Kluyveromyces lactis: one gene and its partners. The protein of the gene in region 1 purifies or fractionates together with the protein of each later gene. This does not show direct contact. Links are inferred from orthologs where the notes say so. Each region holds a gene or a part of one and is shown in the gene's direction. Other genes may lie near its edges.

Evidence for each region.
Region 2: the proteins of MED1 (region 1) and SSN3 purify together in Saccharomyces cerevisiae (affinity purification with mass spectrometry; 3 studies listed by BioGRID, with this or other methods). This does not show direct contact. The link is inferred for Kluyveromyces lactis from reciprocal best matches to the Saccharomyces cerevisiae genes MED1 and SSN3.
Region 3: the proteins of MED1 (region 1) and SRB7 purify together in Saccharomyces cerevisiae (affinity purification with western blotting; 4 studies listed by BioGRID, with this or other methods). This does not show direct contact. The link is inferred for Kluyveromyces lactis from reciprocal best matches to the Saccharomyces cerevisiae genes MED1 and SRB7.

The regions. Positions count from the first base shown.
Region 1 is NC_006038.1:818,670-821,995, reverse strand, and holds MED1 (Med1p), read left to right. Parts: upstream 1-1,545; coding exon 1,546-2,826; downstream 2,827-3,326. Other genes in the region: SPE3 (spermidine synthase), read right to left, coding at 1-608; YSA1 (ADP-ribose diphosphatase), read right to left, coding at 3,264-3,326. UniProt on the Saccharomyces cerevisiae protein: Component of the Mediator complex, a coactivator involved in the regulated transcription of nearly all RNA polymerase II-dependent genes.
Region 2 is NC_006040.1:1,006,659-1,010,370, reverse strand, and holds SSN3 (cyclin-dependent serine/threonine protein kinase SSN3), read left to right. Parts: upstream 1-1,349; coding exon 1,350-3,131; downstream 3,132-3,712. Other genes in the region: isoleucine--tRNA ligase ISM1, read left to right, coding at 1-112; MRX11 (Mrx11p), read left to right, coding at 341-943; mRNA-binding ribosome biosynthesis protein NOP4, read right to left, coding at 3,235-3,712. UniProt on the Saccharomyces cerevisiae protein: Component of the SRB8-11 complex. The SRB8-11 complex is a regulatory module of the Mediator complex which is itself involved in regulation of basal and activated RNA polymerase II-dependent transcription.
Region 3 is NC_006039.1:1,290,725-1,293,017, forward strand, and holds SRB7 (Srb7p), read left to right. Parts: upstream 1-1,292; coding exon 1,293-1,724; downstream 1,725-2,293. Other genes in the region: GIC2 (Gic2p), read left to right, coding at 1-240; VMA22 (Vma22p), read right to left, coding at 560-1,072; PMT7 (putative dolichyl-phosphate-mannose--protein mannosyltransferase), read right to left, coding at 1,989-2,293.

The DNA.
Region 1 (3,326 bases):
CTTTCAGCTTGAGTGGAAATGACACCTTTCTCAGTCAAGGCACCGTTCAACAATTCGAAGTAAGATTGTTGGAACAAAGAGGCGGCTGGACCTTCCGGGTCAGATGAGTCAGTGATGATAACGTCAAAAGTGTTTTGGTAGTCTCTCAAGAATTGGAATCCATCACCGATATGAGTCTTGACCTTAGGATGGGAATAAGACTTCGCCATCTCTGGTAAGTACTCCTTGGAAACTCTGATAACAGCTTCGTCAATGTCACATAACCAAGCTTCTTGGACGGAATCATGCTTGACAATTTCTCTCAAGACACCGCCATCGCCACCACCGATAACCAAAACCTTCTTTGGGTTTGGGTGAGAGTTTAATGCCAAATGGGCAATCATCTCCTGGTATGAGAACTCATCACGCTCGGTGACTTGAATAGCGTTATCCAAAACCAAAACGTTACCATAATCAGTAGACTTGAAAACCAAAACGTCTTGGTACTTAGATTTTTCATGGTGTAAGATCTTTTCCACACGCAAAGTCATGGCTTGACCTGGCCACATGGTATCAGAGATTTCTCTGAACCATCCGTCAACAATCGTAGGATGTGTTAATTCTGACATGATTTCTACTTGCTTCTTTTCGACTCCACTAAAGATTTAATAAAGCCAGACAATATGGTAGATCAGATAGTGAACCAATTGAGTGCTAACAGAAAGTAGGAGTATAACCTTTTCTTATTTATGATTCTGTATTTAAATCCCATTTGCTGTTTCTTTCATATGCATTTTGCTCATCAAAATTTTTCAGTTCAAGCTAAATCGATAAGCCAGTCAGGGCCCTGACAATGTGAGAATACGGAAAATTTTTCCTTTTGACGGACCTTTGATAAGAGGGTAAGCAGCCTGCTTGCTGCCTTGTTTCTGCTCTAGTGTATTTAATCGGTTGATGTGTCACATCGATTAAGGTTATCGAGGTGTGTTAACTGTTTCGGAATGATATCTTTGTATATGCGCCTGACAGTTCACATGACATGGTATATAGAATAAGCTACTTTCAACCAACTGATCGGTTAGTCGGCCTGGATGGTGCTATATGTTGAGGGATCTGGCTCATGAGCAATCACACTCTCTTGCATCATTCTCTTAGTAACGGTTATTTGTGTGTATGTGCAGAAATTGCCAAGAATGGTCGAAGTAATTCCAGATGTTGAGAGAATGTGTGTCTCTCAACACCAGTTGTAACATTTAATTTCACAGTGCAAACATTCCTCAACCGATAGTAGAAAGGTGGATACAACCCACCAATGACTTCTTGATTGTCTCTCTCTAGAAACCAGGTATCGTTCACTTAACACGATGTAATACATTATGGAATATCCGGGTAATAATTGTTCCTAATGAAACATCGAAAGATTAAATAACCAAGTGCGCTATGCTATGAGTACCAATGATAATTACATGAGGACAATTGGGTGAGTAAGGATTCATCGCGTACCGAGTCTATTGTTACATAGTAGTGATCTGAGGGGTCTTGAATTGAAAGGAAAAAGCATCAAAAATGTCTGATGCATTTGTGGAATTGCTAGATGAAATGATTGAAAGGCTTTTGAATTATAAACCAGGAAGTCGGACTCTACCCAATGTTATCAAGCTGTGCCAAACATTAGGATTAGAATCATTTGTGGATCAAGTGGATAGTACCAAGTCAAGGTTATCAATTGCATCTAACATTGTGGTCATTGATATTGATTATGAGAATGAGATGGAGACCATTTTAGATGTTAAATTGGTCTTAGCGTCAAACTTCGATAAATTCAACTACTTTAACGAAAAGGGTGAAAATATACTATTGACATCACTTTCTGACGTCCAAGATTTGAAGGCTTTCCATCATAACTTGAATTTTTTGGTTTTCTTGGATTCTTTCTCCAACATCGACATCGAATCTGGCCACACGAGTCTTGATTTATTTAAATACTATACTGATCTGCCTAAGATGTTACAAGACTATATTAGTGATCAGCATTTGCCATTTACAGTGAAGATGAATGAAAATTCCACGTTTGGAGTATCAATATATGATGCCCAGGGTCAAACTAAGATTATGACTGTGGATTTGGAAAAAGCTCCTAATTCGGATAGATCTTTTTATGAATATGTGTATGACTCTAAACTAAAAGACTGGCTTAACGAATCATCTGATGCATCTACGCAAGGAATTAATCTCGTATTCAAATTTGAAGAACTAGTAGCGTTCCCAGAAACGTGGCTTACCACCGAGATACAGATGAATGAAACTCCAAAAAAGTTTGAACTACCACAACAATCGCATTTGAAACATACAGTTAAACTACAGAATGAACTCACATCAGATCTGTTACTTATGGATTCGTTTAGGATATCCAATGAAGATATAGCATTGTTGCCAGATTTTTTGAAGTGGTACAATTGGCATAAAATAGTTCTCCAAGAAGTTTTAAAATTAATTATTCATGACAACGTTACCAGTAGCATCTCGACCTCGAACTCTGGAAGTGTACAACCAAAACCAAGAAGAAAGTCCAGCGTGCTAAGTAATAGGAGGCCAAGTATGACAGATTCCATGATGTTGAGAGATTCTGGTATACCGGAATTCACTTTGAAGGAGATCTTAGATCAGCCTGTAATATCAGACACCGAAGATGATGATCAAATGGACGTCGACAAAGAAAAACAGATTCCTATTGTTCTGAACGAGGAATATATATATATAGGAAAAGCCCAGACTTGTTCATATAACGATAATGATGAACAAGCATGGAAAGCCTTTATAGACTACTTGAAATCTAAGCTTATATAAAAAGAATTAACGTTCACTTCAGTTTTATGATGTAGTAATATTTGAGTATAGCATTTTTTGGAAGTAAAATTTTGGTGAAATAACGCTGACGACATACGCTTCATTCATCCCAAGATTAATTTGTGGATTTGCGTTGATTTAAAGAGGTTTTTAAGCAACATTCATATAAATGATTCAAGAAATTTAGGCACTATGGCCGAGTGGTTAAGGCGACAGACTTGAAATCTGTTGGGCTCTGCCCGCGCTGGTTCAAATCCTGCTGGTGTCGTTATTTTTTTTCGTTTTTAAATTACACGGACGAAGAAGCAAGTGCCATGTATTGATTGCTGTTGCTCCTACTCTGCATCTGCTAAACTATGGTGGTTTAGTGTATCCTTATTGCCTTATTGAGAGTATTTATTGAGTATATAATATCGACCAGGAATTTGCAGTACCAGTCATAATTTCAAATCCTGAGCAAGTTTGATACCCTGGGCAACATTTTGAACCCTAGCATCTAA
Region 2 (3,712 bases), on another chromosome or scaffold:
GTTACTGCTAGAAGAAAGTACGTCTGATAAATGTCCTAGATGCTGGAAGCATAACTCCCCAAGTGAGGACACTCTGTGCAATCGTTGCGAGGAAGTTATTAATGCATTATGATCACATGACCTTCACATAAATCACTTGTAAATAGTATTCTTTTTAACAACAGGCATGAACATAGACATGCGAAGGTTTATCAATACGATAAAGATATCACACCATAAATTAATTCAACGACTGTTAGACATCATAGTGGCGTAATCACTGCTATATAATATTTTGTTTGATCTCCGAAGGGCTCGCTGTACTTGTTGTAGACATACACATACTCCAACACACAGAAATATGAAATTACTGCAATCATTGCCAGGGCTTGGCACTAGCTGTTCCAAAATGGTAATCGGTAATAGGTACTCGATAATCCAAAAGAGAGGCCCGGCGAAATTATTTATCAATGGGATACGGTATAACTCGAGCAAGGTCGAACCATCGAAAATTGATGATAGGCTGCATCGGCTGATCAAAAAGTCCAAATTCCTGACAAGATTGAACGGTAATCCTCGTTACAAACATTATTTCGATAAACTTTCTGAAGCCGGCGCCGTTTCTACAATGACATCATTCTTAATCCTTCACGAAATTACTGCTATCGTTCCTTTGTTTGCTCTATGGGGACTGCTTTATAACTTAGATCTGTCTGACCAATATGAGATGCCAGTATATTTCAAGGATTTGTTGAACAAATGTGGTGAAAGTATAGGTAAATTAATTGGAGATTACGATAATGGCTGGGATAGAGATAGATTAGTTGTATCTGGGGCTCTTGCATACGCCATTGTTAAAGTATTGTATCCTGCTCGGATACTTTTCAGTTTATGGGCAGCTCCATATGTTGGAACTTTCGTAATAATGCCTTTTACCAAACTTAGGGCATTAATTCGTCGTTGAGCTAAAACCTGATCTTCCATTGGCACTGATGTAAATAGACTAATTTATATATAGACTCGCATTCATCTTATTATTATAAAACTTCATGGATCATATTTATGAAGACAACTACGATTAGTTTACAGTTAGTGTCTCAAATCCTTGATAATAGTAATAAATTCAGCTACGACTAACTATTTATTCATGATACAACGACATATCAGGCCAGAGTTGGCTACTTTATTATCTAATGACTCTTTCTTCACAGAACAACGAATGGTTCTTATATTGACGTTTTTATAAGAATTTAAAGCGAAGTGATCCATTAGAAAAATGATTAAACGTTGAACGCTTTGAGAATATAAAGACAAGCTCTCGGCGGATACAGCATTCTATCACTTTTTATAGACTGCGATTTACTGCTGTAATGTACGGCAACCAACAAAACAACTCCAATCCATATCAAATGTCGTATTATCGAATGAATAACGGCCAAGGCCAGGGTACTAATCGCTGGCCTCAACAACTGTCACATCAGGAAATGTTAGCGGGCCATTCTCAACAGATCCTTAATAACAATAAACCAGCTGGAAACCAATCGAAGCCTCCGATTGTGATGGCTAGTAATAATGTTTTCTCTATTGGTCCATACCGTCAACGAAAGGATAGTTCAAGAATCTCGGTGTTACAAAAGTACGAGATTATCGGGTATATTGCAGCTGGTACGTATGGTAAAGTTTACAAAGCTAAAGCGAGGGATTATCAGAATGGTATGAATAGAGACAACGTAATAATACTAGATTCTCCGGATTCTGTGAGTGCTGATTCAAATTTGGATATAAATTCAATCAACAGATCCACTAGACAACAGGAGGCTAACGACAACCTTACAACCATGGACTTTAGGAAGCCTTCCCACAAGCGATTCACACCTCCAAATAATAGCAACTCAACACAGATACGGTCTAATAGTGGATCAGAAACAAATGTAAGGATAAATTCGTCGAGTATAACAAACAACTCCAGAAAGCCTTCTCAAATTCAGTTCTATGCTATTAAGAAGTTCAAAACGGAAAGAGAAGGTGTCGAGCATTACACAGGTATCTCACAAAGTGCATGCAGAGAGATGTCACTTTGTAGAGAATTGGATAATAACCATTTAACGAAATTAGTTGAAATATTCCTAGAGAAGAAGAGCATCTACATGGTCTCAGAGTTTGCTGAACATGATCTTTTACAAATTATCCATTTTCATTCGCATCCTGAAAAGAGACTAATACCGCCAAGGATGCTCAAATCAATAATGTGGCAAATTCTTGATGGTGTTTCTTATTTGCATCAGAACTGGATTCTTCATAGAGACTTAAAGCCCGCTAACATTATGGTTACCGTTGATGGCTGCGTCAAGATCGGTGATCTTGGTCTAGCGAGAAAATTCAATAACATGGTACAGACTTTATACACTGGTGATAAGGTTATTGTAACAATTTGGTATCGTGCCCCAGAACTTATACTTGGAGCTCGACATTATACTCCTGCAATAGATCTTTGGGCTGTTGGTTGTATTTTTGCAGAACTCATCGGTTTAAGGCCAATCTTTAAAGGTGAAGAGGCCAAGATGGAGTCCAAGAAGAGTGTTCTGTTTCAAGCTAATCAGTTTCAAAAAATATTGGAAGTCATGGGTTCGCCAGATCATAAAATATGGCCGAATATCGACAGTTATCCAGAATATCTTCAGTTGGCAAAAATGCCAAAATATCGTGACAATTTAACAGCATGGTATCAGACCGCTGGCGGTAAGGACAAGACTGCTTTAGACATTCTTTACCGTCTATTGCAGTATGATCCTATCAAGAGAATCGATGCAATCGACGCTTTAGACCATGTCTATTTCACCAACGGCGACCCTCCTGTCTGTGAAAATGTGTTCGAGGGTCTCAACTACAAATACCCACCAAGGCGCATTCACACAAACGATAACGACATTACGAATGTCGGCAATGATAATAATCAAGCTAATCACTCTCAAAAACAACCAATGCATGGTAACAATAATAATAAGAATGGGAACATGAACGGATTAGGTGTAAACAAACGTATCTTGGCAGCAGCAGCGGCAGCTGCCGCTGCAGCTGCTGTGTCTGGTAATGGAAACAACCCCACAAGCAATACTGCAACCGGAGGATCAGCACGGAAAAAGAGAAAATGATTCTATAATTGAAATGCATGTTATTTAATATACAGATTTTATATCCTAGAAACTTCATTGCTTCGGAATGCTTTGAATTTTTGCCTTTGACTATTGTTTACATTCAAGAACGGCCCTTGTTCTTTCTTCTACGTTTAGATCCAATAATCTGTTTAATATTATTACTTAGACCAGATTTTGTTTCCTCTTCTACTGGTTGAGCCACTTTTTCTTCTTCTTTATTCTCTTCATCATCTCTTTTTCTCTTGAAAGATATCAATCTAGATTCTTTGACCTTTTCTCTTCTTCTCTTCACAACGTTAGCGTTTTCGATAGCAAATTCGACCACCAGTCTTCTTTTTTTGAAACTGTCTGCATCAAGCTGTTTCTTTTCATCATCCGTAAGTCCTTCTAAGATTTCGTCCCTACTGACTTCATGAGCATTTAACCATCTTAGACACATTAGCGCAGCTTTATGATCCCTGAATTCAACAAAACCATACCCTCTACTTCTACCACCGCTAGATCCTTTAATTTCCATGATAATTTTAGATTGTCTAACAATACCTTGTTTCTTGTCCTTCTTCTTTTGAGCTTCGATT
Region 3 (2,293 bases), on another chromosome or scaffold:
AAATCAGTACCAAAAAAATCAATTACACCAAAGCACTCATTGAAAAGAAACTCTGATCCAATTCTGACACCAATTTTAAGGCCATCAGAATACTTAGACTCTCCAAGAACCAGAAGGTCAGTTGATGATGTTTTATTATGCTATCTACAGCCTAGTGATGCTGGATCGTCATTGGATGAAAGCTCTAGTGAGTTTTCCTACGCTAGAAATTCAAACATTTACTATAAATCTATTCTATGATCTTCACCCGTGGCCAGGGCCATTCCATTCACTTTCACAATTGTTCTCAAGAAAATATACCCATCTTTCACTCGTTATTGCATTTACTGAAATCAGCTCTCTTTTTGATACAGATTAACCCTTCGTCGTTCATTTATTAATAATTAATCCCCAATCTGCATGTGTACAGATATACACTCATTGTACGTCTTTCAATTGGCGCCATCCAACGTTATTTTCGTTTCCAGTAAACTGTTCTTTCCAAATTAGCAATTGTACAGATAGTTTTCTTTTGTATTAACTCTGATATAAGATCATTCCCATAGCAATTATAAAGTTCTTAAGCTGAATTTGACAGAGTCCCTAGTGCGTCAAGTAGACCATTAAGAGTACGTCGAAGTTCTAGTAGTTGATAAAGTACCGGCATCGAAGCTTTGAAAGATAATTGACATTGTTTCAAAGAGCTTGGGATTGAAAGGGCACCTCCGAACATATATATAGGATCCTTCTTCACCTTTGCCAATAGTTTTTCTCTTTGTTTTCTCTTCTTTAAATTCTCATTGGTTGCTTCATCTTTCTCAGGAATGATTTCTTCGTCATTGGCAATATGCAACGGCTCTTCAGTCTCCGAAACAGAGTGCTTGTCATTAATGGAGATATACCTGTTTCCTGTATAAGTTTCGTCCCAGTAATCCTTACCATATGATCCTCGAAGTGTGTTCTTATTGTGATAATTCGCTCTGCTCAACTGATGGTAACCTTCTTCAAAACTAGCTTGCAACTGCTCTAATAGAGAATCATAGGTTGCAAGATTCTTAACAATGAGTTGATATATGTCATCCTCCGTCATCATTGGTTTCCTAGCGTCTATTAATATCCAAATCGTGGCAGTTTCTTCTCATATTACGTATATTATTCAGTCATAAACGTTTTAAACCAAACTTTTGAAGTTGTCTGAAATATTTGTAACTTAATCATAGTCAATGATTTATATAAACGAATTCGAAGGTGAAAGAAAGTTAGCAATATTGCGACAAACCAGCTCCAGTAGAGGCAAGGAAGAGTGTACAAAAATGACCGATAGATTAACCCAGTTACAAATATGTTTGGACCAAATGATGGAACAATTTTGCGGTGCAGTAAATTATGTCGATAAGAACCATGGTTTTGAACCAAGTAACGATTCAGAAGAGCAGATGTCAGATCCTCAGGCCCACATTGTTGAGGAAAAGGAATTTGAAAAGAACATAGATGAATTGACAACAGACATCATACTTAAAACAAGGCAGATAATGGCTCTAATAGATTCTCTACCCGGAGTAGACGTATCTGCACAAGAGCAACTACATAGGATAGATTCACTACAGAAACAATTGATCAAAATGGAGAAGGAAAAGATAGACGCGATAAAAAGGAAGGACGCTTTGCAAGAAAAAGTAAGAACACTTACCCAAGACTTTACGATTGGCATTAATGAATCGAAGACAGAAGCACGCTTAGTATAAGAAAGGAATCATTTTGAAATCTTCGGTAGAAATTGGGTCACATGTTAACGTCAAATTGCGAGTAAGAATACTTTTACATAGTGTCTAATGTATCAAGTGGTATATAGTAGATATTTAGCTTCTTTTCCTTTTCTTCTTCTCCGAAACGATGTCAGACAGATTGTCTGACATCGTTTATTTTTATAATGACACGCAACATCATCACTAAACATAGCATCCGCATGCCCCGTCATGCCACCACCGCTCGCTGTGATATTCTTGGTTCTATAACACAGAGAACTGTGAAAGAATGATCACCGCAAATAATAGAGAGGGCATATACTGGTTAACGGAAAGATTTCTGTGCAGGCTGTAAGTAAAAATGTATAAGTGCAGGATCCAACCTAAAAATGCCTCCAAGGTGACTTCTCTTTTCATTAATTGGTTTGCAGTGGTATTAAGTAAAGTATCTTCAAAAATATTCCAAGATAACCAGGAATATGCTTCCATGAAAGTGTACACGCCCACAGATACCGTAGAAGTTATCCATAAGATTTTACCGATTTGGTTGTTATTGTCGAAAAGAATCG